Linked DNA regions of Tamandua tetradactyla. The protein of the gene in region 2 interacts with the protein of the main gene of each other region in a biochemical or structural test. Links are inferred from orthologs where the notes say so. Each region holds a gene or a part of one and is shown on either strand. Other genes may lie near its edges. The genes, in order: ZC3HAV1, TRIM25 and RIGI.

Region 1 (10,886 bases), on a different chromosome or scaffold from region 2:
GTATCCACATGAATAGTTCTCAAAAACACAATGTTGAGTAAAAATTCTGAAACACATAAAAAGTACTACATTTTCTATATAGGTACAAATGTAAATGTAAGGAAGATATAAAAACATGGATAGGCAGAATACACAACAAAAGCACGACTGAAGCTGCTCCTCGAGTAGGAAGGAAATGGGTCTGGGAAAGAGGAAAAAGAAAACACCACACTTTAAGCTTGCTATGATTTTTTAGTTTTATTTTAAAAGACAAGAAACAAAAATGAACATTATAAATACGTTTTCATTCTGGGAGATGAGTTCTCTGATGCCTGTTATATTATTCTTTGGGCTTTTTGGTGTGGGTTTTTCTTTCAATTTATGAAAAAGTTAATGCTTCCCACCTACCCACCCCCACCCAAAGTTTCAATTAACCAAAACGGAAAAGCATACAAACAGGAAAGAGCCCAGAGGGAACACCCACATTGGCAGAAACCACAAAGCGAGATGAAAACACTCAGAAAGCCTGCTTTCAAAACTTAAAAAGAAATCACGTTTGCAAAAAATAACTTAAATTAATGAAATATCACACTTCATACAGCTACTTGACAAGGCAAATACTGGTTAAGAAGTTATCCAGATCTAGGTTCAAACTCTGATCCTGCCAGCAACTAAGTATGTGACCTTTGATAAATTTCTAAACATCACTGGGCCTGCATTTCTTTACCTCAAAATGGAGTTTACGATACCTACCTCAGATGCTAGGGTAAAGACTTACTTGTATACCGTCTGTGAAGTGCTTATCATAGTGCTTGGTACATAGTTATTTGTTCAATAAATGGGAGTTACTGTTTATGTCAGAACTGGGCTTAGAATTCTGTGTGGGGGCATACATTTCAGCAAAGCAAATAGAAATATCAGAATTTATCCACCAAAACAAATAATTACCCAACACAGAATCAAGTCCTATTCTCAATTAAAATGTATAGCTAAAAGCAGGACAGATAATAGAAACCCCACCTATAAATAACAGCCCTACAGAGGAAATTTTATAAGTCCAAAAAAAGATGCAAACTGTCACCAGGTACACAGAGAAGGTTTTCTTGAACTAAAAGGCAATTTCAACTTGATTATCAACAGGTCAACAGATTACATTAACCAATAATCCACAAAGTCCTTTTGTTACACATGCCAAGTGTTGTTTCTTTCTTTCTTTTTTTTTTTACATGGGCAGGCACCGGGAATCAAACCTGGGTCCTCTGGCATGGCAGGCAAGCATTCTTACCTGCTGAGCCACTGTGGCTCACCCCACAAGCCAAGTTTTATGAGATGAAGTTTCATAAATTGCTGAGAAGGGGAAATATTTTAAAACATATTTGGGAAAAAACCATATTTTCTAGGGTTTGAGGACCAAACAAGTAAATTTTCCCAGAAGTTCTCATTATGAGAATACCATATACAGTAATGGATAAAAAAAAAAAAGGTGCAATATCTAAATTCAAAATTGATGTAATATGAAATGAAAAATATGACCAGTTATTTACCACACTACCAAAAAAAAAAGTTTAATGAATCTCTAGAGTATGCACTCAAATTTGCACAAACAGTCCCTATATTATATATCTTAAAATTATAATTTCAGGTTAACAACTCAATTTGTGAGCTAAAAATGGTTTTGAGGTTTCAAACCAGGCAAAAAACAACACCATAATAAAATTCATAAAACCAAACTAAGTTGTCCAAATATATTATTGTGTGTAATATTGCAACAATTAAGGACTGTACCTGCTTATGTTTTTTTCCCTGAAAATGCAAGTCTGATTTATAAAATAATCAGGGAAATTTTAATGCCAACTGGATATTAGATGACATTAAGGAATTATTGTAACCTTATAAATGAAAATTGGATAGTAGTTATTTTAATAAAAGCGTGTAACTTTTAGAGGTATTCATTATTTATGAATGCAATGATGCCTGGGATTTGCTTTAAAATAATTCATTGGAGTGAAGAGCAGGGATGAGAAGAGAGAATAAATGAAACAAGATCGGCCATATTTTGAAAACTTTTGAAATCAAAGGATGGCTGGGGGGTTCATCATACTCTCTTCTCTACTTTTGTGTACATTGAAAATATCTATACTAAATAGTCAAAAGATAAAAGCATATGTATTTAAAAGTAAAAGCCACCATTAGCTGGTAAGGAATTTCTCATCATTCACTTTAACAGAAAAAAGATAATCTTCTAATCCCACTGCTATTCAATACAGTGCTAGAATATATAGTGTTTCCTTTTCTATTCTCCAGTCTTTCCTTCTTTCCTCAGTGGTTTCTTCCACCCCCGACTCAGATGACTTCCTCTGTAAGTCACACGTATCTTCAGGATCTCAGAAAGAGGCGTTCAAATAGTTACCTCACAAGGTACTAAACAAATATTTTTAAAATAAGCACTCTTATTCAAACACCTTTTTTAAATTTTAGAATGGGCAAAAAGGTTTTTTGCTATAAACAAATACCTTTTTAAAAAATATTATCCGTCTCATCCATTTAAAGCATGTGTCTTCTCTACATTTATATTACACATATATCAGAAGGTGAGTGATCTAAAGTTTTTTGCTAATAAGAAGTATGGGATCAGTTAGATGGCCACCATTTTAGACAAGTCACCACTTAAGGTCTTTAAGGAGGGCAATACTGTAAGACATGCCATATCAGGTACATGCCATGTACAGAAGTAAACAGAGGCAGAACAGATGGGGGAAACCACTGTGGCTACTGAGACCGTCAATTTAATTCAATAATGAATGCACTGGGAAGTGCGATGGAAAAGAGGAACTGGACAGGAGATAGGTATGTGAGACTTCACAGAAAGAGCGAATGAATTGCGAAGAGGGAAAAATATGAAGAAAAGGTGGAAGGGAGTGTCAAAAACCCTGTCTGGGGGAAAGACCATGAGTTTAACCAAGTGTACTCGGAGACTGCTGTTCCCGAGACACTGAGATATGAAGATATGAACTCAGTAGGCAAGCCTGAGCAGGGGGTGTATGCTGGGAAGCCATCTTTGTAGCTCAGGTAGCTGAGCCAACGAGTGAGCTCTTTTAGTGGGAAACTTGCGAGATAATCTAATCAAAAGGCTCAACCCAAACCTTGGGGCGCACCTATATTGAGAGAGCAGAAAAGAGCAAGTGGAGACACAGAAGTAGCTCCTAAGCAGTAAGCTGTACCATTTTAAACGACCATTTTAAGTCAGTGGTCCCGGGCGGGCCACTGCAAAGACACAAGCGGGAAAGTGCTCAGGGACTTTATTACAGGTAACCTAAAGGAGGGTCAGATGGTGTGGACTGGAGCCAGACTGTAGAGAAGTGATACTGGGAGGTACGGAGACAACCAAGATTGGAGGGTCAAGCAGAGACCAGCCGCTCGCTGCGATGGAGTCCGATGGAGAACCCCGAGTGCGGCTTTGGTGCCGGGAACCCCGCCAACAATTCTAGGATCGAAGGTAGCGGAAAGAGAAGGACTGAAGAATCCAGAGAACAAAGGCATTTTTCTTCATTCCCAAACCTGCCTTCAACATCACCAGGATCGGCTTGCCCAAAAAGCACTTTATTCTTATGGGGATGGGTAAACGCAGTCTCCGCTTGGGCAGTGTGGCGTTAGCCATATTCGAGGAAAGATCTTGAGGCACCAGGGGGATGGGGACCGCCAGGGTTAGAAGCAGGGGCTCTCCAAAGGGAGCAAAGAAATAAGAGGCTGGAGAAAGATGCTGTCGGGTGAGGGAACCCGGTGAGGGGCGCCCCTCCCGAAGCAGCAGCCCCGACCATCTTTCCCCACCACAGCCGAGGGGGTGCCTCCCCTTTTTCTGTGCACTCACCGATCCACATAAGAATAGCTGCACCGGCCTAGCAGGTTGAGCTTGCAGAGGTGCAGGTTTTCGCAGGGTCTGTTGCAGAACTTACGACGGCAGACCCGGGCTCGAGTGGTGGCCACCACCGACCGGCTGACCTCGGCCTTGCCGCCAGTCTCCAACACCACGAAGCGGTCGGGCCCGGCCACCTCCAGCACCTCGCAGAGTTGCGCCTCGGACAGCGCGATTTCCTCAAGCAGCTTGTCCAGGGCCATGCGACCCCCATGAGCGCACAGGATTTTGGTGATGAAACAGCACACCTCGGGGTCCGCCATGGCGCGCTGCCTGGCCTAGCCGAGTGCGACGAACTCAGCTTGCGTAGAATCGAAACTTACAAGTGTCCGCGGGGCGGGGACGGGAGCGGGCGGTGCTCCGCTGGACGCGCCCAGGGCGAGCGCGCGCTCTCTTCCTCCGTTAGCTAAACCCATCGGTTTCGGTTTCCAACTCGGCTCTTAGACGGAGAAGCCAGATATCACCCTCTAGTCCTTGTGTCAGATTTGAACTCTAACGCCGATGGGAAAACCTGGAAAGTGAACAAGCGCGGAGAACTCTTGGTTCTAAACTAGGCGAAGATGGGGTTTCCCAGATAATCGCCGCGGGGCTTTTTCGGAAAGAAGAGAAACTAAAAATTATCTCTGGGCTCTGGGAGCGTTTTTATAAGTCAGACTAAGTGGCAAGTGACGCGAGTCTTGAGAGCCCTCTTGAGGAGTCCTCTCGAAATCTCCTACCTCACCCATCCTTGGAAAGAACCGACCCTAGAGTACTTCCTCCGAGCTGGGCGCTCTCCTGGTGTATTTTAGTTTTCTAAGTTTCGTGGAATTTACAAGGCTCCACGGAGTCGATATTATCATCATCACTCAGTAATTGAGAAAGTAACTTGAGCAGAGGTGCACCACTACCAAGCTGGAATGCGGGTGCCCCCCGAGGTTCCCAAAATCTGGCCGCCGTGTACCAGATCGAGGTCCGCGGAATCCAGGACCAACGCGCACTTTTCTTCCATCACGATGACCCCTTAAAGAACAGCGATTATGACTCTCCGTTTTTGTTTTCCCACAAACTTTTTGAAGAAACTCTTTTAGACCCCTTCTTTTCTGCCTATAATCACTAACAGAGATGCCCCAGACATTGCTTCTTCTTCACAAGAAATCACAGGTACACATCCCAAGATTTCAAATCTGTGTCCCCCTTTTAGATATTTCGACAAGACCTTCCCCTTCAGGTAGAATAAATTGGGCATTTATCAGATAGGAAATAAATCTTTAAAAAAAAAAAATAGAATGTGGTTACCAAATTAGAAATTCTTCGAAATCGCTAATGGGATAAAAAAAAAAAACAATGGTGGGATTCACACAGAACTGCAGGTCTGTGCCATCTGATTTCCTGTGCCTTCTGGCTACTGCTTCCACACTTGTCTTTCATCCACTTGGCCATAATTGTGGTTTGACAGGTTCTCAGGTACTGGGCTTTCATTGCCAAATCAATTAAATTTAACATATTTATTGAGTATCTTTTATGTGGCCCTTACATTAGTTAGTCATTCTGAAAATGTGTAACTTTAAGAAATAGTCCCTTCACTTAAGGAGCTTATGTGTGGGAAGGCTTGAAAAGAACATTAAAAATATAAGAAAAGCATTGATTAAATGTTGCAGTGGTTATTGAGGAGATTAGAAAATGATAAGTCCAGTTTGGTTAGAGTGGTTGGGAATAGAGAGATAACATTCCCCTCAGTTTGGAGACATAAATGCTTTAAGGGTATGAAAAGGGAAAAAAAGATATTTGGGGAAGTTTAAAAACAAATGCTGTCACAATTGGATTCTCTAGAAAGCAGATACTGACCCAGAGGTAGGAGTGCAAAAGATATTCTGTCCAGTGAAAGACAAGAGAAGGAGCAGGATTGGTCCGTGGGAGCTGTCAGACTGCTTTGCAGACCTGACAAAGTCTCTGCCAGAGCGAGGGGAAGCTCTGGAACAGAATTGGCTAGGCCTTTGTACCAGGCATTGGCAGGGGCCACCAGAAAAAGTATGTGACTTTAGCTTGATTTTTGGGGCAGATCCTGAAAGAGTTAAAGCTGGAGGCTTTCAGTTAAATGTTAAATACGTTCCTCACAACTGGACAGCAAATCCTGTCTTCTAGGGAGAACTGAGTGACACATCTTGTCTGTATAGTCCACTTTTTGTAGCATGTGGAACTATTTCTCCATCCATGTTCAGGGAACTCGGATGGGCCTCTCTTCATAAAAGGAAACTTAGAAGATGAATGAACTGTAACCCCTGTCACCGCTGTTGGCCTCAAGGCCATAGTAGGTTCTCATTCTATCTCTCCTCCGCTAGCCATTCTAATCCTCACCCTTGGCTACCACCTCACCTGGTCTCAGTGGCTTAACTGGTTGGGTCCATCAAATCCTCATTCCTGCGGGGTCTGCGCACCTGGTGCTTATTCTCGGTACTTATTCCCTTCACCGGCCAGGACTGGTGCTCTTGTCCATTGACAGTCACAGTTGGGCAAAAGAGTACCAGGAAACACCTGCCCCATTGAGTAAGAGCAGCCCCACTTCCAACTCCTGATGAGGGTCAATTACCTCTGATAAAATTGTCACCAAGCAATTAAGAGTTAACAAATGATTATGATTACTGAAGCATTATATAGATGCCCTTTTCCTTTCTAGTGTATTGTAGAATAACCGAAAGTAAATACCTGAACTTTCTGAAACTCACTGAACTATAACCCAGATAATAATGATTATATCTTTACCTTATGATTGCAAAAATCCTGTGCAAACGCATGACTGGCCCAGTTTGTATCCCCTAATCCTGTTTTACAACTTTTAACGTCTTGTGATCCCTAGACAGCACCTTAATGTTTATTAATGAAGGAACATGAGTCAGCCCATAACTGACCCACCCCAATTCCTAAGCTGTCTTACTAGACAAAGCTAGATCTAACCAAAATTGGCCTTCCTGACATGTAGTAGCCTGAACCTTAACCTGTAAGTGACCTATACCTCATTATAATACTAAAAATCACGCCCATCATCATCCTGTTAAAGCCGCCAATTTATTACATATGTTCTGTAACTAGGCATTTAATCAACCTGTGCATGCTCAATAATTAGATCATCTCTAACTTCATCTTCTCAAGGCATTATACTCAATATCCTAAAACCTGCCCATCTTTTGATATTATAGAATTCTCAGTTACTACAGTTTGGGGAGACAGATTTTAAGCCCATAAGCCATCTGTTCTTGTTTCACTCTTGGCAATAAACTTTTTCTCCCTTTGAAACCCATTGTCTCAGGAATTGTCATTTGTGTATATCAGGCAGAAAATTATGCATTTGTTGGTAATAAGATGGCCATTCCTTTTCTTACCTGCTAGTCTCTAACATCAGAGTCCAAAGTGCCTGATGGCAGCCAGAGCTTGTAGGCGAATGGGACGTTTGCTCTGTCCCCAGGCAAGAGTATGTCCCTTTTGGGGACCAGAACCTCTAAACCTGCAGAGCCCAGATTGTAGGCATCAGGAAACCCACTGTGTCACTGGGAATGATGGAAAGTGGAGCTACTCTTGCTTCTACTCTGTTTCCAAACCCACTGGGGCTGCAGCACCATATTAAGTTCTCTGATTTAATGCATATACCAAAGCCTGGAGAACATGTCATCATTGCAGTATATTGCCTCCAGCTCGCGCTTCAGCTTCATCTTTAACAGGCCATGCTATTTGAAGCTATTATGTACCCCAGAAAAGCCATGTTTTAATCCTGATCCAATCTTGTGGGGACAGCCGTTTCTTTTAATCTTAATTCAATACTGTAGGGTGGAAACTTTTGATTAGATTATCTCCATGGAGCTGTGATGGTCCCAACTGTGGGTGTGACATTTTGATTAGATGGAGATATAACTCCGCCCATTCAAGGTTGGTCTTAATTAGTTTACTGGAGTCCTTTAAAAGGGGCAACATTTTGAAGATACCTCAGAGCTGAGCAAATGTAGACATTTGGAGATTGAGACAAAAATGGCCCACGTGCTAAGCAAGGACTCACCAAAATAGCTAGAACCTGAAGAGATGAAATCTCCAACCCCAGAAGACGTTAAGCTAAGTGCTGAAACCCTTAGAGTTTTGTCCCGGAGCAGCTATGTGAAGGCCTATAGATGTTTAGAGAGGACATCACTGGCATCAGAAGCTGGAAGTAACAGAACCGGGAACAAGGACCCGCAGATGCCACCTACATGCCTTCCCAGATCATCCTTCCTATTAAGCAAGGTATTTTTCTCTGGATGCTTTAGTTTGGACATTTTTCAGCATTAGAACTGTAAACTGGTGACTTGCTAAATTCACTTCTTAAAAGCCATTCCATTTCTGGTATATTGCATTCCAGCAACTTAGCAAGCTAAGACACAAGCCACTCCAACAATTTATCCAGTAGCTTCTGGAGAGATGAAGTAAGTGGATATGTCTGGTGGATCCCACTGGACCTTGGTCAAGACTTCACTTGCCCCACTTTAACAGGGGAGCCATGAAGATGCTTCAGGATTGACGCTATCAGTATCAATCCTCTGTTGGGTCTTCTGGCCTAACATGATATTCCATCATGTCCACTTTTCTGAGTCTTTTAATCCTTTCCTCTACTGTCTGCCATGGCAACTACGGCATTCCAACTTCACTCCTTATGAACCATCACTTTTCCAAGATTTGCACCATCCCTTCATCCTTGTCAGAATGTTAAATCTTGTATCATGAGGGAGCGTCCCTAAGTCAATAAAGTCTCCTTTCTCAGTCTTAGATTCCAGCTCACTTGATAAACCAGCAGTTTTCTTAGAATGATAAGGTTGGAATTCAGAATCCATAGTAAAGAAATAAAATGATCCTTTCTATGGATGCAAGGGTAGTTCAGTGGTAGAATTCTTGCCTGCCATGCAGGAGATCCGGGTTCAGCTCCCGGCTCATGCAACTTCCCTAAATAAACAAATAATTCAACAAATGGTGCTGCAATAATGGATAGTCATATGGAAAAAGAATGAAATATGACCCACACCATACAGCATCCAAAATATATATACATATATGTTGAAGTCCTAACCCCAGGTATCTCAAAATGTGTCCTTATTTGGAAATACAGTTATTGCAAATGTGATTAGTTATGTTAAGATGAGTTCATATTGGAATAAGGTAGGCCTCTAATCCATTTTGATGGTGTACTTATAAGAGGAGAAGAAACAGAGACAGACAGGACGAAGACAAGGTAGAAACTTAAGTTATACAGCTACAAGCCATGGAACATAAAGGATTTCTGGGCACCACATGAAGCTACAAAGAGGCAAAGAAGGATTCTTCCATAGAACCATTGGAGAGAGCGTGACACAGACTTGCCTTTGGACCTCTAGCCTTCAGAACTGTAAGAGAATAAATTTCCGTAGTTTTAAGTCACCACGTTTGTAATACTTTGTTATGCTAGCCCTAGGAAACTAAGACAATCACTAATTTTAGAACATTGACAGAAAAGAAAAGGGAGGGGGGAGAAAGGAAAGGGTAAGGAAAAAAAGGAAAAAATTATCTAGGTACTAGACAGAGAATTTTGATTGTTTGTTCCTTGTTGATTTTTGTTGTTTCACTGGAAGATCCTGCCATATGTGAAGGTTTTAAAGAAATAAATCAGGGGAGCATGCAAACCTGAAGCGAAAGGGTACGTTAGTATGCTATCAGGCTATATGATTTGGCACCACCTATCAGAGAGGAAAGCAAAGCCTACACAAGGCAGTTAGGTCACCTGTGCTAAGTCTAGTAATTAAAACTGTATAAACATCAGAAGGTGAGTCAGATGGAATGCATAAAGTCCATAGCAACTATGTGTATTCCACAGGAGCTATGGGAATCAAAAGTGGCATTAGTCAAATGGTCAAACAGTAAAAGGAAGGCAGAGGTTAGGGAGTGGTTACAGGAGTTTTCCCTAAATGGAATCTATACAACAAGCAAGTTTCCCTAGGAGGAACTGAATTGGTAAAGGATGGACTTGCAGGTGTAGGTGAAGGAGTAATCTTTAGTGTAGAGAAGGGGCATATCCTTCTTCGTGGATAAATTTATAGACATTGCTTTGATGGTGCTCAAATGAACTTCAGACCACAAACCTTCCAATAACACTGGTCTGAGAGCAGAGGCAATGGACATGGAGTAAAACAGAGGAGGGATCAGTTTGGTGAAGATAGCTGATATGGTAGCCTTATGGCCTCCAGTGAGTCTTGCCTCCTGATATTTACATCCTGTGTTGTCCCTTCTCACAATAAATAGATCAGACCTGTGTAATCAATAGGATATTACAGAAATGTGTGTGGCTTACAAAGCTAGGTCATAAAGCAATGGCAGCTTCCTCTTTGTCTACTCTTACATTGTTCACTCTGAGGAAGCCTACTGTTATGCTGGGAGGAACACTCAAGCAGCCCTATGGAGAAGTCCACGTGGCAAGTAACTAAGACCTCTTGCCAACAGCCAGTGCTAATTTGCCAGGCATGTGGGTGAGCCATGTTGGAAGTGGATCCTCCAGCCCCTAGCCAAGCCTTCTGAATCACTGCAGCCCCAACCAACAGTTTAACTGCAACCACCGGAGAGTAGAACCATGCAGCTAAGCCACTCCACAGAAATTGTGGAAGATGATAATGTTGAGTTCTTTAAGCCAGAAATTGTGGGTTATTATCACTTTTTTGAGATACAATTCACATAACAGGCAATTCACCCACTTAAAGTGTACAATTCAATGGTTTTTATTATATTCATAGCTTTGCAACTATCAACCACTATCAAATTTCAGAACATTTTCATCACCCCAAAGAGAAATCTTCTATCCTTTAGCTGTCACCCCCTTCCCTCAGTCCTCGATGTCCTCTACCTCAGCAACTGCAATCAGTTATCTACTGTATGTCTCTATAGATTTGCCTATTCTGGACATTTCATACAGATGGAATCATACAATATGTATGATCTCACTTAGCACGGTGTTTTTAAAGGTGCATCCACGGAG
Region 2 (11,283 bases):
GTTCCCGGCTGTGCAACATTCTCTCATCTCAGCTTCCATGTCCACCAAAGACGGATAACAACATTCCCCAGTTCCCAGGGCTGTTCTGGAATGAGTAAATGAAATAATATAAGTTTTCGGCATTATGCCTGGATCTTGAAAAGGACAGGCTTGATGTCAGCTTGGACTCTTAGAGTCTCTTCACTGTTACCCATTTACAGCTGTCAACACTGAAGTGAGGACAGCCCGGGGACTGAGTTCACACAGAGACAGAAGGCACTGGACAGCTGCTTCCATAATAGAGGTGAAGTCATTCGGGCCACCCCTCCCACTGCACAGGACCCAAACTGCAGGTAAGATATCAGAAAAAAAAAAGCAAACAAACAAAAGCCTCCTTAAAGGCACTGGAGAGCTAACAAGGCAGAAAAAGGTCATGGAGTCAAGATCTAGGAGAAAGAAATCCAGAGACATAGCCTAGCACCTGGGAATGTTCTCCCCAGGGGCATCGGCCAACTCCAAGACGGCTGATTGGAGCCCCTGACAGTCTCCAGGAACCAGAGGGACAACAATCAGAGTCCATGGCTCACCTAGTAACCCCCCAGGCTGGGACCACCAAGGGCTCCCCTTAGGAATAAGAATGGACTAGCAGTAGACCAGCCCGCAGGAGCTGCAGCCAAGCTGCAAACAGACTCAATCCCCGAAACTGAATTAAGGTACTCAGAATCATTTGGCCCCTAGCCATCTCCGGAAACAAAAGGAAACTGTGAAGGAAGATATGATTTCAATAATGTTTCAAAATCAATATCTGATTACTGATTATCCTGCCTCTCTGCTCACAGGTAATGCTGGGGTGCGAAAATGAGAAGGAAAACCGCCATAGTAACATTTATTATGTATTTACTAGATGTCAGACACCACTCCAGTGCTTTCCATGCATTGACTTAAAGCTAAGAACTCATTACTTGAGGAAGTAAGGACTCATTACCCCCATTTTACAGATGAGGACACTAAGGCACAGAGCTATTAAGTGACCTGCTCAAGGTCACACTGCTATTAACTGGTACCGTTTAGATCAAGGTATTACAATCACAGGCATGTGCTAAAGCTGAGCACACTGGAAATTTCTAGAAAACAATTTTTACTTCCCCTAATTAGCTGGCTCAACACACTCTGGTCCTGCCCTCCCCTCTCCTGACTCTTCTACTCCACCCATGTTTATTGGGAGTTGAGCTTGACCCTCAACCTAGATTTGAATAACCCAGTGAGAGTCACACGGAAGGGCTGGGAGTAGGGACCGAAGCCAAGCTAACTGGACCCCAAGAGCGCAAGTCACCAGTGATGTTTCAGGCTTGACCTCTGTGACAATGCTCTTTGACCTGGCCTCTAACAGTGTCCGAGATAGGGTGTAGGCCAAGAGCAGAAGTCCAAGCCCAAGCAGATGGAGCCTCATGGGGTTCTGGGGATTGAAGAGACTTCAAATCCTAGGGGCTGCCACGTATTTTATTTCCAAGGGTACTTTCAGTACTGTACCTGTGAACCCTGTATTTGAAAGATTTTACCGCCATTAATCAACACGCATGGCAGTCCTTTGATTGTGGCCAGAGACCCACATGTCTCCAGACAAAAGGACAGTGACCCAGTGGCTCTGACCAGCGGCAACAGTCCCCTAATCAAGGGGAGAGAACCCTCTGAAGTTCTGAGGTCCCTTCACAGACTGACCCCCGGGCACTTGTGTTCTCCAAGACAGTCACCAAAGTCCTGAGTCCACCTGCACCAGTAGCTGAGACAAGCCAGTCGCACAAGGCCAGGGTGCCCTACATTCAGCAGTGAGTGGCAGCAGAGCTCAAAAAAGCAGACCGATTAAAGAGCCCAGTAAGCCAGGGCAATTGGGGCGAGGGGTGGGGAAGGAGAGGGCCAAGGAAGGCCTGTTCTAAGGATTAAAAGCACGTACAGAACCTAATAAACTAGAAGCAGACTCCAGCTTGGAGGCTAAATGAGAGCTGTGGCTCCCAGCCAGGCTGAGGAAGCATGGCCTATCCCTGCTGTCTTCTGCCTCCAGGGGCAGGAACTTCTAGGAGAGCCTCTCTGCAAATGCCAGGCTGCCCCATGCCTCGCCCGCAGGCCCGTGCACCCTGAAGCAAAGAAGATCCAGATGGTCTGACCCCAGGGGGCTGCTCTTCTCTCCCTAGGCCAAATGATAAGACAGCTCTCAACAGAGATTTTACTATGAAACACTGGTTTATGGGTCGCCTTATTTAATCCTCATGTTATGACTTCCTAGCTAAGAAGAGCAGCCAGGATTCAAACCCAGATCTCTCAACGCCCAGCTCTGGCCCAAGCCACGTAAACCAGCCACATGGTCTGACACAGGGGCCTGTAGACAAAGCACCTTCTATGCAACTCACCTCTCCGGAGCCTCCCGACACCCAGTGAGGTGGGGAGAGAATACTATCAGTCCACCGGACAGCCAAGGGAGCCTCGGCTCTGAGAACAGTAATGACTTGCCCAAAACCGTGCCAGAGCAGGGCTCCAAAAGCTGGGCAGGTTCTCTCCTGTGACAGGCCCTGACTCAGGCAGTGGTTCCTAGGATGGTGGCATCTCAGAGGAGGTCCACTTGCAGGAAGCGCCTTGAGGTCTAGAGTCAGGACAGAGCGCAGACGCACCTAGCTCAGGCCTGGATGCAGACATGGCCAGGGAAGGGCTGTGGCCTGAAGCAGGGAGGCCTGGACACTGGTTCTGGCGCCACCACAGATCTCCCCCTGACCTTACCCAGGCCTCATGTTTCCTCCGACAAGGCGAGAACAGTCCTTGTTCTGTCCAACAGTACTATGAGAATGAAATGCAATGAGGCCATCTTTGGAGGCCAGGGTGGTACGCTACTCAAGGTGGCTTGATAACGTTTTCCCAGCCTCTGCCTGTGTCCACCCACTCCCCCGACCCGCACTCCCAATCATTAAAGACCACAGACCTGCGAGGCCCCTTAGGAATCCAGTTTTGTCTCCTTGTTTACCCAGTAAGGATCCAGACTCGGAGGCCAAATCCTGTGCTCCAAGTTATCCAGCCAGGACAGAGCACACCATGACACAGCAGTCGGCTCTCCCTGTGGTCATATCTAGGAATTCCTGGGGCTCTGCCCCCTGTCTCCCCCCCATCCTCTAATAACTTACCCTCCCTGGTCAACAGAACTCTCTGATTCACCAAAGGCTTTGGCTTACATGACCTCAAGCCTCCAGGTATGAACAGACCTAGACATGGGGCTGGTTCATGGAGGGAAACTGCAAATTGCGCAAAGCAACCTGGGTGCCATTGCTTTCTCAACCAGTTACTGTATTTTCTGAGACTACATTAACTTACTGGACTTCAGTTTCCTCAACTGTAAAGTAGAAATAATAAGAGATCTCCTAGATGCTGGAGGAAACTCCGGGAGCTCATATTTGATGTTCAAAATGCTCACTAAATACCATACGAAGCTCTAGGCAAGAGACCTCACTTGTGTCCTCAGCTGTCTCCTCCGTAAAATGGGTGGGTGGATGGGGACAGATGATGGCAGAAGGTTGGATGATGGGGGAGGGCTGGATGATGTCCCAGCTTCTTTCTACTCTGACACTGTGACTGGTCCTGCCTCAGGCCCAGAAGATCAGTTCCCCCGGGGAACCCAGGGGATGGCAGGGATGCCACCAGCCTGGCCATCTGCACAACCCAGCTGGCTCTAGCCTGTCCCTCTGCCCCTCACCCACTCCCCCTACCTCCAGGTCGGCGCTGGCCTGGCTCAGGGGCGCAGGCGAGCAGGCTTTGTGTTCCACCAGGCAGATGTGGCAGATGCACTCGCCGTGTTCTGGGCAAAAGAAGTCCCGCAGCCGGTTGTGCTGGGGACACTTGCGACGCAGCAGGTCCCGGATGGGCGGCTGCAGCTGGTGGTCCCGGAAGACGGGGCTGTCAAGGTGCGGCTGCAGGTGCTCCTCGCAGAAGGAAGCCATGCACACGAGGCACGTCTTGGCGGCAGTGGCCTTCAGACAGTGGTCGCAGGCCACCGGGCTGGACGAGCTGGGCTCCACAGGACGGGACGGCGGCGTCCAGCCGTCGGTGGCCTCCTCCCGGGCCAGCTCGACCTGCAGGAACTGCTCCACCACGGCGCACAATACCGTGTTCTTCTGCAGCTGCGGCCGCGTCCGGTAGACCGCGCGGCACTGGGGACACTTGAACGGCGCGCCCTGGACCGACCACGTCTCGTCCAGGCACGACGTGCAGAAGTTGTGGCCACACGGGGTAGTGACCGGCACCTTGAAGGGCTCCAGGCAGATGGAGCACGACAGCTCCTCGGCCAGAGGGCACAGCTCCGCCATGGCGCTCCTGGGGGACGGGTCGGGACGTGCTGGTTCGGTAGCCGCGGCTCCTGCACTATCGCCCGGAGGCCGCCGAGGAAACGAAACTGAGCAGCTTTCGGGGCGGGACCGCGGCCTTCCAGGAAGTCACGTGGGGGCGCGGGGGGGGGCGGCCCGTGGGGAGGGGCGCGCCGCGGGGGGGGCGCGCGGGGGAGGGGCGCGCCGCGGGGGGGCGCGGCGGGTTGGCGCCTCAGACCAGCTGGCGCTGCCAGACGGCGGTCGGCGACGTGAGGGGCCCCGACGGCTCCTGCGGAGAGGGCGCGGCGCGCTGGGCTCGGCGCTTGGGGCCAGGGGTTTCAGATCGTGCTCGCGACCCCCGGGACGTTTGCGGATGAGGAAACGGACAGGCGGAGTGGAGTGTCGCGCACCCGAGAGTAACAGCCACCGGGGTCCTGTCCGGCTTCCGCACAAACTTGCTCCTGGAGCAAGTCATCTCCCGAGGAGCCCATCCAAGATGCCTCCGCCGCCACGGCCAACAGGGCTGATCTAGTTATCAGGAAAGGCCTTTTGAAAGTAACAATTGTGGGAACAGTTAAGGATAAAGGACACTGCCCTTTTTTCTTTTTTTTAATCCTCTGTCTTCCCTGTTCCTGGGTTCTGGCAGAAGGGCGTTGATCCTTGAAGGCTGGAGCCCATGGTCTTATCATAATCCAGACCCGAACTTGAAGCTTTCTTTCCATTCCACCCATCTAACATAATTTAAAAATTCCCATTTCTACTTTCATGAGGTTTGGACACACCCAGATTAACAAAGGTTTCCACGCACAATGAATACAGTATTGGAGTTTGGATATTTTTTTCTAAATGGTTCATTTAGATTTCTTTCCTTTAATATTTTTAGCTCTTTCTCCCCCTTCTGGTCCTGCCTACAAGAAAAGTGTATCAGCAGAGGCACATCTATAGCCAAGTGATTTTTGTCAAGGATGCCAAATCAGTTCAATTGGGCAGGAATAGACTGTTATGAATGGTGCTGGGAAAACCGGATATCCATATGCAAAGAAAGGAAGGTGGCCCTCTACCTCACTCCATATCCAAAACAATTCAAAGTGGATCTAAGATCTAAGTATAAGAACCAAAATAATAAAACTCCTAGAAGAAAATGGAGTTAAGTAATGGTTTCGTAGGCTTTACACCCAAAGCACAAGCAACAAAAGAAAAAACAGATAAAAGGATTTCATCAAATTTAAAACTTTTGTGCATCAAAAGTCTTCATCATGAAAGTAAAAGGACAACTTATAGACTAGGAGGACATATTTGGAAAGCACATATGCAATAAGGGTTTAATTTCCAAAATATACAAAGAAAAATAAAACTTAAAAACACAACTCAATTTACTGGCAGTTTCATTTCTAGGTATATATCCAAACTAATTGAAACTGGGAACTCAAGTAGATATTTGCATGCCAATGCTCATAACAGCATTATTCCTGATTGCCAAAAGACAGAAGTAACACAAGTGTCCATCAACTGATGAATGGATAAATAAAATGTGGCATATTAATATAATATAGTGGAATATTATTCAGCCATAAAAAGGAGTGATGTTTTGAGGCATGTGACAATATGGATAAAGCTTGAATGTCATGTTGAAATGACATTCTGGAAATAAGCCAGACACAGAAGAAGAAACATTGTATGAGCTCACCGATATGAAATAATAAGAATAAACAAATTCATAGAGTCAGTCACTAGAATACAGGTTACCAGTGGTCAAGGTCAGGGTAGGGAATGGGGACTTAATGCTTAAATTGCACAGGATTTCTAGTCAGGATGATGGGAAAGTTTTGGCAATGGATAGTGGTAATGTTAGCACAACATTGTGACTGTAATTAATACCACTTAAATATTTATTTGAATGTGGTTAAAACGGGAAAATTTTAGGTTGTATATATGTAACTAGGATTAAAAAATTTTAAAAACAATACATAGGACTGTTCAACAGTGAATTCTAATACAAACTATGAACTATAGTTAACAGTACAATTATAATATTGTTTCATCAGTGGTGACAAAGGTACCCGCTAATGCAAAGTGTTAAATAATAAAGGGTTATATGGGAACTCTGTATTTTCTGCATGATTTTTCTGTAAAACTGCAACTTTTTAAATTAAAAAAATGTATTTAAAGAGAGAGAAATAAAGGACACAACAGCCAAAAATAATAGTGGGTGAACAGGAGGCTAAAAGTGTTCGAGAAAGGGGATGGAGTGTTGGCCAAGTGGAAGAGTGTCTTGGGATGCGTTATTGGAGTTTGGATTGGACACCAGGTGGGCAGTAAAAATGAGAAAACGGTAAATGCCTTGGTAATTGCACCATTTATGGGCATTGGCTGTGTGCTTGACAAGTTACATATATTATCTCTTATAATCCTTATAAACCCTGAGAGCAGATATTATGTCCATCTTAAAGATGAAGGTCACCTACATTATAGAAAGCAGGACTGGGATTCTAGCTCAGAACTGCCTAATCAACAGTAACTCCTGTTTCCTCTAATTCTTGTCCCGCAGACTTCTATTCCCCCAGAACCCTTTACCCCACTCATTCTCTTTCATATTGTTTTTTTGTTTTCTTTTGATTTGTTTTTATATGGGTGGAGGAAAACAGAAGAAGGATGAGGGAGGCAAGAAATTAAGATTTATTCATTCTATCTCAATTAATTCTCACAACAAATCTCTGAGGTGAGATGGATATAAATTATCTCCTATTAACAGATGAGAAAACTGAGACCTAGCGAGACTAAATAACTTGCCTAAGACCATGGATGATCTGATTTCAAAAGCCAATCCTTTTCTGGTATAAAATGTTCCCAAAGGGAGATATGGGAGCAGTTTCCAGGAAAGAAACACGATAAAATTCCATGTGACTAGCTTTCCCGGGTGAGGTGGCCTGGTGACTCATGCTGGAATACCTGTAGAATTGTCTTACCAGGCTGAAAGGCTGAGAAGGGCTGATTAGACAGCGGAGATGAGGAGGAACATACTTTATGTTTATCAACTTCGGTGCAGTATGTGTTTACTTAGGCCCACTATGCAACAGGCATTGTACTGAGTGCTGAAGGACTAAGATGTGAGTTACATGTCGACCTGCCTTCTCATACATGGAGAAGACAAATCAGGAGTGGGAATATGGCAAGAGGTCGATTTTGCCTAGGGACATGGATTCCTCATCTGCAAAATGGGGAGCCCTGTAATAATACCTTTCTTTCTTTTTGTGGAACCAAAATGAAACACACACGAAGCATACTAACACCGGTGAGAATGGGACAGCGTCAATGCGAACCCTTGTAATGGGCTCTCCAGATGGCTCTCCTGAGCTGGAGGGTGTGTTTGTGAGTCGTCACACCAGTAGAGCAGCTCCTCAAGTCAAACATGATCCCAGCTGGTCACAAAGAAGTTGGATGTCCCAGCAGATGACTGGCTGGCTTAACCAGATGACATTTTGCCCCTGTAGGTTGGGAGAACTAGGTGGAGTAATTAACTTCATTTGCCTACAAATATATTTTGATTAAGCCTATTATTTCTACCAGTGCAATGCTCGTGAGATTGTGAGGGTGGTTCCAACACCCAACCCTCTAGCACTCAACCCCTCATGAAGGACACTGATTGTTGTACCCATTTGAAAGAAGGCTAGAAAGGTCTAGAGACAGAAATGATCCTAAAATCCTGACTTTGAGACTCTCTGTATACTAAAAAGGTTGTCGTATGTGACCCTTGCTGTCATACACAAACACAGTGGGGGGGAATCTATTCTTAATAAAATAAGTATAAAGAGGTCCAACAAAGTCCTTACTTTTTCCATAGTAAGGACTATGATCATTTTTATTGAGGCACTCTCATTCATTCAGCAAATACTTTTCTAAACAATGCTGATTATGTTTTGACTTCTTTATTTGGTTAATATGGTGAATTATACAGATTGATGTTTGAACCTTAAACCAACTATGCATTCCTGGAATAAATCCCTTTGCTCATGCTGTGTCATCATTTATTATATATCGCTGCATTTGATATCCTAACATTTTGTTAAGGATTTTTGTATCTATGTTCATGAGAGATGCTGACTGTAATTTTCTTTTTTTAAATGTCCTTGTCAGATTTTGCTATGAGTGTCAAGTTACCATCATAAAAAGGAATTGGGAACAGTTCCTTCTTTATTTTCTGAAATACCTTGTGTAAAACTGATATTATTACTTTCTTAAGCGTTTGACAGAATTCACTAGTAAAACCATAGGAATCTAGAATTTTCTTTATGGGAAGGTTTTTAATCACTAATTCAATTTCTTTAGCTGATAGAAGACTAATTTAAATTTTTATTACTGCTTGTATCAGTTTTTGGTAAGTTGTGTTTTTAAGGCATTTGTCAATTTCCTCTATGCTAATGACTTTATTGCTATTAAGTTGCTTGCTATATTTTAATATTATCCTTTTTAAATTATTTTTAATTGAGATATAATTCACATATCATAAAATTCAACCTTTCAAGGTGTACAAAAAAATTCAGTAGGTTTTAATGTAGTCAAAAGGCTGTGCACATATCACTATTATTGAATTCCAGAACATTTCATTATCCCAAGAAAGGAACTTTATACCCATTAGTAGTCACTCCACATTCCTCCCTCTCCCCAACCCCCTGACAAAACACTAATCTATTTTCAGTTTCTCTCGATTTGCCTATTAAGAACATTTTACACAAAATATGTAATATTTCATAGCTGACTTCTTTCACTTACTGTAAGTTTTCAAGGTTTATCTATGTTGTATTATGTATCATAACTTTATTCCTTTTCATGGCAATCAACAATTGTAACAACACCAAAGCAAGTTATTAATAATAGGGTGGTATTTTATGCATGATTATTCTATAAACCCACAACTTTACTAAAAAAGAAAAAAATTGCAATAAGTTAAAAATCGTTGAAATGCACAATGTATCTTATCTGACAATGGAATGAAGCTAGAAATGAATAATGGAGGAAAATCTGGAAAATTAACAAATCTGTGGAAATTAAACACAACCAATGGGTGAAAGAAGAAATCACAAGGGAAATTAGGAAATATCTTGAGACAAATGAAAATGTAAACACAACATACCAAACTTATAGTCTGCACCAAAGGCAGTGTTGAGAGGGAAATTTATAACTGTAAAGAAAATGTAACACATTTACGGAAATTTCCAGACAGATTTGTATTATCAGGTGAGTGTATCATTTGTATTGTTTATGAAAACTTCTAAAGCTAGATAGCTAGAATTCATATATATGTAGATTACTAACCCATTCTCTTTAAAAAAAAAATTATTGACAAATCTTCACACACATATGGTCCACATATGACATACAATCAGTGGCTCACAATATCATCACATAGTTGTATATTCATCACCATGATCATTTTCAGAACATTTGCATCACTCCAAAAAAAGAAATAAAAAGAAAAAAGAAAAAACTCACACATCCCATACCCTATACCACTCCCTCTTATTGACCACTAGTATTTCAATCTACCCAATTTATTTTACCCCTCATCCGCCTAATAATTATTTATATTTTATTCATATTTTTTTTACTCATCTGCCCATACTCTGGATAAAAGGAGCATCAGACACAAGGTTTTCACAACCACACAGTTACATACCAACCCATTCTCTTAATTGGACTATGGAAGAATAATGTTCTAAGAATTCAAAACATCAAATAATCATGTAACCCAACAATCAAACAAAATGGGCGTTTTATCACTTTTGAAGCCAGGAGTTTATCATCCTGAATATTCTGTTTTAGATTAATTTTTAAAATGAGTTGCATTTCAGCCTGATGGTATTGTGGCATCCTCTCTTCCAACTAGAAAGCCACCGCTGCCTCCAGACGCTGTCCAGATGGCGACCTCTCTGAGATCCAATACCTATAACAGGCAGAACCAGGAGGATACCAACTTCCCCATACTGTGCCAGACGTGTCTTGGAGAACACCCGTATATCCAAATGACCAAAGGAAAATATGGGAAGGAATGCAAAATCTGTGCCAGGCCATTCACAGTGTTTTGCTGGTGCCCTGGGGTTCGCATGCATTTTAAGACCTAAGTCCGCCAAACCTGCATCAAATTGAAGGCCGTCTGCCAGACATGCCTCTTGGACCTAGAATATGGCCTACTCATCTGGGCTCAGGATGTGGGATTGTCTTTTAAGGATGATATGCCAAAGGCAGATGTCAGCAAAGAGTACTACACACAGAATGTGGAGAGAGAGATTTCTCACTCTGATGGAACACCATTCGTTGGTATGCTGGGGAAAGCCACGTCCACCAGTGACATGCTACTCAAACTGGCCCAGACCACACCCTACTATAAATGGAGTTGACCCCACATTTACTTCTTCTGGGTGAAAGAAGAATGTAAGAGAGAAGTATTCATACAGACATGAGAAGCCTACAGATCCAGATGACCCCCTTGCTGATCAGAATATCAAAGATGGATATTATGGAATCAATTATCATGTGGCAGATAAGATTCTAAAGTGGGCTTCAACAATGCCTCACCCAGACCCACCAGAGGACAAGACCATCACCACACTATATGTTGGTCTGGGAGATACCATTACTGAGACATCATTTCTACCAGTTTTGAGAGATTCGGATAATAACTATTGTGCAGAGACAGCAGTGTGTTTTTTATCCAGTTTGCCACACAAGGCAAGCTGCAGAAGTGGCTGCCCCCCAAAATCTTTTAATAAGTTGGTTGTCAATGGCTGCAGCCTCAACATAAAATGAAGGAAGATCCCAAGCAGCCAGAGGAAAAGAAAAAGAGAGGGATGGAACCACAAACTCTGGAAACAAGCTACCTGTTCCAGGGCTGCCAGGAGCCCTCCTACCTCCTCCTCCAGCCAACTACTTCACCCTACCCTCCTATGGTCCTCCAGCAGTGGTGACC
Region 3 (10,727 bases), on a different chromosome or scaffold from region 2:
GGAATGAATGCATTTTGCATGTGAGAAGAATGTATCTTTTGGGGGTTCAAAGAGCAGACTGTGGTTGATTGAATTGTGTACCTCAGTTTGGACGTGTTCTTCGTTGTGGCTCACATTCTGGCAAATAGGACCATTTGATAAGGCTATTTTTAGATAAGTTACAGCCAACTGAATCAGGTTGGTCTTAATCCTATTACTGGAGGGCTTACAGAGAAGGCCGCAGACAGAAAGCCATGAAAGAGGATGGAAGTCAATGGCACTCAGAGGAAAAAGGAGAAGGCATCACCATGTGTATTGCCATGTGTCAAAAAAGCCAAGGACCAAGGATTGCTGGTAGCCAGCTCCAGAATGCCAGTCTTTGGAGAGAAAGCATTATAATTAAGAAATGAGGATTTAGGGGATGATTTTTTATTACTGGATAGTTACACGGATATTCCTTTTGTTGTTTTCTGGTATTTTGGACTAGACAAAGGGAATTATATGAAATCTCTAAATTGTAATCCAGTTACCTTGATCTCTGATAATGATTGTATAGCCCTTATCTTCTGCCCCTGTGATTATAAAAACCTTGCGACTAAACTTCATCATCTGTAGCCGGGTTTCCAGTTTTTCATCTTAGGGTCTTGCAGTCACTAAAGACAGTGCCTAATATTTATTAATGAAGGCTCTTGGAACAGTTCAGGACCAACCCACTCCAAGTCCAAAGTTATCTTGATAACCAAGACTTGATCTAATTATATTGGGCCCATCTGACATGCGCAACAGCTTAGACTTTAACCTGTGAGTCACCTATTCTTCATTTCCACCATTTTCTTACATACGTTCTGTGACTAAGCATGTAATCAGTCTATATATACTCAATAATTAGATCAACTCTTATTACATCATCCAGGGCCCCTCTGCTTGTCTTCTTTGCTATAAAACCATCAGAATTTCTGTAGTTCAGTGAAACAGATTTTGGGCCAAACGGCCATCTGCTTTCCTACTACATGCTTCATAATACACTTTTTCTCTCTTTGAAACCCCAGTATCTCAGGAATTGAGATTGAGCTCATCAGGCAAAAGAATCCACCACCTTTGTCCAGTAACAGCACTGCCTTGCTGGTGCCTCAAGTTTGGACTTCCTCTAGCCTCAAAACTGTGAGCCAGTTAATTCCCATCATTTAAGCCAGCCCACTGTATGGTATTTTTTTTAGTAGCTAGGAAACTAATATATTTCCTTTCAGTTTTTTTCCAGCTAGTTTTCTCTCCTACTTTCAACCTCAGTTAAAATGTCACAGATCTGGGCCGCGGTGGCTCAGCGGGCAAGAGTGCTTGCCTGCTATGCCGGAGGACCCCGGTTCGATTCCCGGCCCCAGCCCATGTAAGAAACAAACAAACAAACAAAATATAATAAAACAAGAAAATGTTTAAAGATGTCTCCCTTTCTTCCTCCCTTCCTTCCTTCCATCCTTCCTTCCTTCTCTCTGTCTTTCCTTCCCTTCCTCCCTCTCTCTAAAAAAAAAAAAAAAAAAAAAAAAAAAAGTCACAGATCTATGAAGCTTTCTCTGACCCCTTCAGAACAGGTAGATGTCCCATCTATGTGCTCCCACAGCACCCTATGGTTTCCCATGAGAGAATTTAACACATTTTATTACTTATTGTGTATTTAGTTAACTGTCCTCACTTATGAATTCCAATCTCTCTTAGGCTAAGGAACATTTCTATTGCACTCACCGTTGATTCCTCTGTTTCTAACACAATGCTTCATATTAAATAACATGTGCTTAGTAAATTGCCTCCAAATACTAGCACTATGACTGGCATATCTCAGATGCTTATTTAATTGAATCAATGTATACTGAATCAATACTCGAGTGCATGAAAGAATGGGAGTCACAAAAGTCTGTTAGTGTTTCATTCATTCCAGTTTTTCTTTTGATTTCTTCTTTGATCCATTGGTTATTCAGGAGTATGTTGTTTAATTCCCACACATCTTAAACTTTCCAAAATATGTTATTGATTTCTGTGCTGGTTTGAAAGGAAGTATGCCCCCTAAGAAAAGCCATGTTTTAATATAAATCTCATTTCTTAAAAGTAGAATAATCCCTATTCAGTACTGTATATTTGAAACTGTAATGAGGTCATCTCCCTGGTTGATGTGATTTAGTTAAGAATGGTTGTTAAACTGGATTAGGGGATGACATGTCTCCACCCATTTGAGTGGGTCTTGATTAGTTTCTGAAGTCCTATAAAAGAGGAAACATTTTGGAGATTCAGAGAGACTCAGAGAGGGCAGAGAATGCTGCAGTACCACGAAGCAGAGAGTCCACCAGCCAGTGACCTTTGGAGATGAAGAAGGAAAATGCCTCCCAGGGAGCTTCATGAAATAGGAAGCCAGGAGAGAAAAGCTAGCAGATGATGCCGTATTTGCCATGTGCCCTTCCAGCGGAGAGAGAAGCCCTGACTGTGTTTGCCATGTGCCATCTCACTTGAGAGAGAAACCCTGAACTTCATCGGCCTTCTTGAACCAAGGTATCTTCCCCTGGATGCCTTTGATTGGACATTACTATAGCCTTGTTGTAATTGGGACATTTTCTCGGCCTTAGAACTGTAAACTAGCAACTCATTAAATCACCCCTTTTAAAAGCCATTCTGTTTCTGGTGTATTGCATTCTGGCAGCTAGCAAACTAGAACAATTTCTAATGTCATTCCACTGTGGTAGGAGAACATACTGTATACATATTCTTTCTATCCTTTTAAATTTATTGAGGTTTTTGTTTTCTGGCCTAATATATGGCCTATCCTAAAGAATATTCCATGTGCACTTGAGAAGAATGCATATTCTATTTACATCAATAGTGTCTGTTAGATCTAGCTGACCTGGAAGAGATGTTAATTCTAATGAAAAGGCCCTGCCAAACCTTAAACATAGAAAACCATGGGAACAAGCAGTCCCAGAAATTCTCAGTGGCAGGGCCCCCTCACCTGCAAGTTAGATAAAAACCACACTCAAACATATAGACTTGTCTCTCTTCTCCAGCACAAAGTGGGGCATACTGAGCTGCATCAATTGACCCCAACCTGGAGCAGTTTTCGGCCACCTCAGGAGACTGGCCGTGATGGGACCTCTTCCCCTGCTCATTTAGATTATGTAAGTGACAAAGAGTTTGCCCTTTCTAGACTCTATTCTGTACAATAAAGGGATTATTTACTGTAAGTTTCTATTGTGCCCAGAACCTGTGTTCCAACAATGCACAATTGTAGTAACTCCCTCCACATTATCTCTCCTAATTTTTTTTTATTTTAAAGTCTATTTGCTGATACTACAATGACCACTATAGCTTTCTTGTCTCTGCTGTTGGCATGATATATATTTTTCTGTCCTTTTGCTTTCATCTATTTGTATCTTTGAATGTAAAATGTGTCGTTTCATTCATTCCAAGGGTCCAAAAGAGATGTCCTGCATGGACTTATATTTTTCAGGGGTCCAAGCTACTCTACTTATTAGGATGCCATTTCATTACTTCCCTCAGGGCACAACTAGAAAGCTGATGTCCACTTTTTTGGTGGTATTCCTTCAGTCCTCATTCCACAATCTGTGGTGTGGTTTCTGCATAGCAATTAGCACCCAAGTTGCCTGTCTGCTTTAATGCAACTTCAAAAACTGTCTAACATCAGTAAAGATATTTAGTTAATTGCAGGCTGAAAAGGAATTCCCAGAACTCTCTTCTCATCTCGGCTCTTTCAAGGTACTGCCTCACTTACCCTCCTCTCCAGGAAGCCTCTCTCATCTCCAGCACAAAGTAGTTTAATACATATTTACAGAATGGCCATTATGCATCATCATATGCCTCAGAAACCAGATGGAAAAATCTCTGAGTCTGAACTAAGACTCAGGGAGAGTCTTGCTCTTTTCAAGCTTCCGGCTACTTGGAACTTGGAACTGCAAATTAGACCCCGCAGAGTGAGCAACAACGACCTTTGATCTCTGACAAAGAATTTTGTACAGTGATAATGTAATCATTTCTGTAGATATGTCGTCGCCCCTTCCCCCAAACCTTGAGCTATAAAATCTTTTAAGGGAGGGCCTCTTATCTCATTTCTGGATCTCTGAAGCTGGCACAACATAGATCCCACGATAGAGGTAACTTGGTTACTTAGAAATATTAGAAATTAGTTACCTAAAAACTATTATAAATAAATGAAACAGCGATTTCTTTCCCCAGTTTTGAACGTAAATAGAAATGTGATTTCACCCTGCTGGGCTTCAATTTCCCTAAACTGACCGTCTCTGGTCTAAAATGCCGTGAAAATCTTGCCCCAAGCCTAGCGTTTCAAGCAGACAATTGAATCGATTAAAAGAAAGAAAGAAAACAAACAAGGGAAAAAACAACTTCTGAAAACCGTCCTCGAGGCTCAAGCTCCTGAGAGGCACTCGAGGGCTATGGGGACCTAGGCGAGGGAGCACCGCTGCGGACCACTCACCTTCCTTAAACCAGGGAGCCATGTAGCTCAGGATGTAGGTAGGGTCCAGAATTTTCCTAACGTAGTGCCTTACAAAGTCCAGATTCCGCCGCACCTCGGCCGTCATGCCTGCGTCCCAGCTTCCGAAACTTCGCTTAACGCCCAGATGGAGGTCGAGGAAGCGCAGAGCGCAGCGATCCAAGGTGGGATTTTCCAAGAGATAGACCCAGCGCTGAGGGGCGGAGCAATGAGGAAATCTGAAGTCTCGAAGAAAAATCGAAACTGCAACTAGCGGCCGGTTGGGGGAGGGCAGGAAGCACAGGGATCAGCTGCCTTGGAGTTGCGGGTCCAGTCCGCGCAGTTTCGTTTTCTCACACTTGCTTCCTCCTTTGCCAACCCCAGCAAGTTCGATGATCCGAACTCTTCGAGTTCGAAGAGGACCCCTAGAAAAGTTTTTTTTTTAATTTATTTCTCTTATTACTCGCCTTCTTAATAGCGGTAGGGTTTAAATGCAGTTAAAATTTGTAGGTCTTAAGTGGACAGTTCGCTGACTTGAAAAATAGATGCCATTTCCCGAAGTTGGGTGGGGGAAGTCTGTGTTTAACTGAATAAGGAACTGCCGCTTGTTTCCCAAAATGGCTGTGCCATTTTGCATTCTCACCAGCAGTACAAGTGAGCTCCAGATGATATACATCTTCACCTTCGGTCAGCCTTCTTTTTTTAATTTTTAGCTATCTTGGTGGATGTGAAGTGGTATATCGTCGTGGCTTAATTTTAATTTCCCATATGATTGAGGATGTTGGGCACATGTGCATGTGCTTATGAGCCATTCGTGTCTTCGTTTGTGAAGCATCTTGCCAAATCTTTTGCCCGTTTTTTTTTTTTATTGTGGATTTACAGGAGTTAATTATTTATTCTGGATACAAGCTCATTGTTAAATATTGTATTCCAAATATCTTCTAGTCTGTGGCTTGACATGTCATTTTCTTAAAGGTGTCTTGATGAGCAGAAGTTTATTTTTATAAAATCCCATTTAATTTATTAGCGTTTTCTTTGTTTACTCTGTGTTTTCTTTTAGAATTTTTATATTTTCAACCCGTAAGGTTGGGTCTCTGAACATTTCAAATTAAACTTGTGTGACGTATAAAGCAGGGCTCAAGGTTCATTTTTTCCAAACTTTTATCCAGTCATTCCAGCACCATTTGTTGAGGAAACTTATCTTTCCCCATTTAATGACCTTGGCACCTCTGCCAAAAAATTAATTCACTGAACATGTGTAGGACATTTCTGGCTCTATTCTGGTCCATTAATCTTTTAGTTGATCTTCATACAAATAAAGCAGGTCTTTTTATTATGATAGGTTTCATGTAAGTCTCGGAGTCAGGTAATGTGAATCCTCCAACTTTGTTATTTTTTTTTTAAAGACTCTATTTTTTATTCTTTGAGTTTCCATTTTTACCAAGAAAAAAAAACCCATTAGGATTTTGACCAGGATTACATTCAATCTATAGATAAATTTAGGAAGAATTGATATATTAAAAATATTGAGTCTTCCAATACGTGAAAATATGTCTTTCCATTTACTTAGGTCTTCTTTAACTTCTGTCAGCAATATTTTAGTTTTTCAGAGTATGGGTTTTATACATACATATCCTGTTAAATTTATTCTTGCTTTATGTTGTTTGATGCTACTGTAAATGGAAATTTTTTTAAGTTCCACTTTCAAATTGTTTATTTTTAGTATATGGAAATACAAGTGATTTTTGTGTATTGGCCTTTTACCTTGCGATATTGCTATGCTCACTCGTTAGTTCTTCTGTAGATTCCTTAGGATTTCCTGAATCAATAGTCATATCATTTGTAAACACAATTTTACTTCTTCTTTTCCAGTCTTTATGCCTTTTATTTAATTTCCTTTCCTTATTACACTGCCTAGAGTTTCCAGTAGAAGGTAGGTTGAATAAAAATGGTAAAAGTTGAAGATGAATAATAGGGGGAACAGATGTTAAAATAAATTTAGATTGAAATGCTGGTGATCGGTGAGGGTGAGGGGTGGGGGGTATGGTATGTATGAATTTTTTCCTGTTTTCTTTTTATTTCTTTTTCTGAATAGATGCAAATATTCCAAGAAATGATCATGATGATAAATATGCAACTATGTGATGATATTGTGAATTACTGATTATATATGTAGAACGGAATGATCAAAAGTTATGAATGTTTGTGTTTATTTGGTGTTTTTTGGTATTTTTTTATTTAAAAATTAATTTAAAAATAAATAAATAAAAAGTTAATGCCCTTACCTTATTACCACTGTCAGGAGAAAAAGATTAGCATTTTCCCTTTATCATGATGTTAATTGTAGGTTTTTCTGAGATGCCCTTTATCACACTGATGAAGTTTTCTTTTATTCCTGGTTTGTTGTGAGTTTTTATCATGAATGGGTGCTTCAAATGTTTTTTCCACCTCTGTTGAAGTGATTATATATATATATATATATATATATATATATATATATAATATGCTGGATTTCATTCATATTAACAGCATATCTGTTAATATGCTGGATTTCATTGGTATCATTTCTTTAAATGCTGAACAGAATTCACCAGTGATACCATTTGGGCCTGGAATTTTCTTTGTTGGATGATTCTTTATAACATATTCAATTTCTTTGATAAATATAAGGCTATTCTGATTTTTTATTTCATCTTGAATCAATTTTGGTAAATTGTGTTTTTCAAGGATTTTGACTATTTCACGTAAATTGTCAAATTTATTGGCATAAAATTGTTCATGATATTCCTTATTATCTTTTTACCTTTTTTTCTTAATCAGTCTTGCCAGGGATTTACTCATTTTATTCATCTTTTCAAAGAACCAATCTTTGATTTTGGTTGTTTTCTTTACTGTTATTCTACTCTCTATTTCATTGACTTCTGCTCTTATTATCAGTTACTTTCTCCTACTTCTTTTAGGCTTAATTTGCTCTTCTTTTTCTAGTTTCTTTAGGTGGAAGCTTAGATCACTGACTTTATATATCTTTCTCTTCCAATATAACTATTTGAGGTGATAAATTTCCCTTACAGTAACATTGCATACATTTTGATATGTTATATTTTCATCCCATTTGAAGTGGCTTCTAATATCCCTGTCTTCGATGTATTGGTTATTTTGAAATATGCTATTCATTTTTCAAATAATTGGGAATTTTTCTATTTAATCTATTTTAGTCAAAGTACTTATGGCCCAGCATAAGTACTATCTTGTTATACATTCTAGGCACCCTTAAAAAGAGTATGTGTTACAATGGACTATTGAGCAGCTGCAAGAAGGAATGAAGTTATGAGGCATGCGACTAGGTAAATGAACCTTGAGGACAATTTGTGGAATGAAATAAGCCAGGAACAAAAAGACAAATATTATCATGCCACACTAATATAGACTAATTATAAGGTCCAACTCAGATTTAAATACAAAACATAGATTATCAGGTGAAGGACTATTGTGAAGTGTGCTGGTTTGAAAGGATTATGGACCCTAGATAAGCCATGTTTTAATCCTAATCCATCTTGTGGAGCAACCATTTCTTCTAATCCCTATTCAGTGCTGTAGGTTGGAAACTTCATTAAATTATCTCCACAGAGATGTGACATGCCCAATTATGGGTATTAACTTTTGATTAGAAGATGTGACTCCCACCCATTCCAGGGGAGTCTTGACTAGTTTATTGGAATCCTTTAAAAGAGGAAACATTTTGGAGAAAGCTTCAGAGCAGAACCATGAGAACCCATGCTGCTAGAGACCTTTGGAGATGAAGAAGGAAAACACCCCTTGGGGAGCTTCATCAAAAAAGAAGCCTGGAGAGAAAGCTATCATATGTCACCATGTTCTCCATGTGCCTTCCAGTTGAGAGAGAAACCTTGAACATCATCGGCCTTCTTTAACCAAGGTGTCTTTCCCTGGATGCCTTAGGTTGGACATTTCTATAGCCTTGCTTTAATTTGGATATTTTCACAGCTTTAGAGCTGTAAACTTGCAACTTAATAAGTTCCCTTTTTAAAAAGCCATTCCGTTTCTGGTATATCACATTCCAGCAGCTAGCAAACTAGAACATAAAGGTCTTAGATTGTAAGCTCTTACAGCAGTCACATCTATTCCAACTGTTATTTCTAAATTCTGATATGCTTAGCTATATATGTATAACCTGGCCATTCCCTGGAATTTTGGTACTTGCGTGACACCTGAGACTCAGAGCTGGAGTTCTGCAGCTATGAAAATCAGCATTACCCCATACAGCAGCTGTTAAGAAAGCTGAAAAAGTGATCAGACTTCAATTAGAAATATGAATGAGGCTAATGTGGGTAGCACTGAGGTAAAGCAGACTAAAGGGTAAAGGATGATATTGACTATATTTTAAAACTTTAACTTCTGTGTGAAACCAAAGAAAGAGATGTTTATTTGGTGCAAAATTTATATTTTCTGCAGCACACTATCTAATCTAACTTGTTTGGTCAACTTATTCTAACAGCATAATTACATGGAACCTTGAATAAGAAGTGAGATGGTGTTGGTTTGTACAGGTTGCTGTGATGCCCCTGTACCTCCCAGAGTAATTAGGGCGGAAGATTAAAAACTATTTGCAAAGTTTTCCTAAGGGACTGGGGAAAAAAGTGGAAACATTAAAATTCCCCAACTGGGGAAGATCTGATAATTTTGTAATAGTTGGGGACTACAAGTTTGATGGGCCAGGTTCTTGATCTTGGGGCTTGTCCTTATGCGATGTATTCCTGCAAAGGAGAAGCTAAGCCTACTTATGATTATACCTAAGAGTCACCACAGACAACCTCTTTTGTTGCTCATATGTGGCCACTCTCTCTAAGCCAACTCTGCAGGTGAGTTCACTACCCTCCTCCTATGTGGGACATGACTCCCACGGGTATAAATCTCCCTGGCAATTTGGGACATGATTCCAGGATATGAGCCTGGCCCTGGCATCCTGGGATTGAGAAAGGGTTCTTGACCAAAAGGGGGAAGAGAAATGAAACAAAATAAAGTTTCAGTGGCTCAGAGATTTCAAATCTCTTGAGAGATCATTCTGGAAGTTATTCTTACACAGTATATAAATATCCCTTTTCAGTTTGTGGTATATTGGAGTAGCTAAAGGAAAATACCTGAAACTGCTGAATTATAATCAATAGCCTTGACTCTTGAAGATGATTAAATAACCATAGAGCTTTTAAGGTGTGACGATATGATTGTGAGAGCCTTGTGACTGATATTCCCATTATCCAGTGTATGGACAGATGAGTAAGGAAAAAAAAAAAAAGACAAAAATAAATAAATAAATAATGGGGGGAGGGGAAATACGGGATATTTTGGGTGTTCTTTTTTACTTTTATTCATTTGTTATTGTTTATGGAGTAATGAAAATGTTCAAAAATCAATTGTGATGATGAATGTCCACCTATATGATGATAGAGTGTACCACTGATTGTACAATTTGGATGATTATATGGTATGTGAATAAATATCACAATAAAGTTGCATTTTTAAAAAAGTATGTGTATTCTGCCATTCTCAGGTATAGTATTCTATAAATGTTAATGATATCAGGTTGATATATAGTATCGTCAAGTTTTCTATAGCCTTACTAATTATGTGTCTACTTGTTCTATCAAATAATGAGAGGGTATTTAAAATTTCAAACTATTAGTATTGATTTGCCCTGTTAGTTCTATCAGTTTTGCTTCATATATTTTGGGTCCCTGTTTTTAGGTAAACACATTTATGACTGTTATCTCTTCCTGACAATTTATGTCTTTTACCATTATGAAATGTCTGTTTTTAATCTTTCCATATTTCTTATTAGCAAATCAAAATCTACTTCATCCCATATTACTATAGCCGTACTAACTTTCTTGGCTTACTGTTTGCATAGTATATCTTTTTTTATCTTTCAATATTTCTGGGGTTTTTAAAAAATTTTTTTATTGTATAGATAACATAAAAGCAAAGAAATAAAAAAGCAATAGTTTTCAAAGCACTCTTCAACAAGTGGTTACAGGACAGATCCCAGAGTTGTCATGGGCTACCATACGATCCTTTCATATTTTTCCTTCTAGCTGCCCCAGATTATAGGAGGCTTTTTCATCATCGCAATCAACTTTCTTTCCTTCTTTTTTTGTGAAAAATAACATATATACAAAACAGCTATAAATTTCAAAGCATAGCACCACAATTAGTTGTAGAACATATTTCAGACTTTGACATAGATTGG

Evidence for each region.
Region 1: of the proteins of TRIM25 (region 2) and ZC3HAV1, one has a biochemical effect on the other in vitro, tested with the Homo sapiens proteins (2 studies listed by BioGRID). The link is inferred for Tamandua tetradactyla from reciprocal best matches to the Homo sapiens genes TRIM25 and ZC3HAV1.
Region 3: of the proteins of TRIM25 (region 2) and RIGI, one has a biochemical effect on the other in vitro, tested with the Homo sapiens proteins (5 studies listed by BioGRID, with this or other methods). The link is inferred for Tamandua tetradactyla from reciprocal best matches to the Homo sapiens genes TRIM25 and RIGI.

Annotation. Positions count from the first base shown.
Region 1 is NC_135327.1:182,161,720-182,172,605, forward strand, and holds the start of ZC3HAV1 (zinc finger CCCH-type antiviral protein 1), read right to left. Parts: upstream 4,486-10,886; 5' UTR 4,156-4,485; coding exon 3,848-4,155; intron 1-3,847.
Region 2 is NC_135332.1:37,908,361-37,919,643, forward strand, and holds the start of TRIM25 (E3 ubiquitin/ISG15 ligase TRIM25), read right to left. Parts: upstream 4,408-11,283; 5' UTR 4,323-4,407; coding exon 3,726-4,322; intron 1-3,725.
Region 3 is NC_135328.1:63,389,760-63,400,486, reverse strand, and holds the start of RIGI (antiviral innate immune response receptor RIG-I), read right to left. Parts: upstream 5,043-10,727; 5' UTR 4,575-5,042; coding exon 4,469-4,574; intron 1-4,468.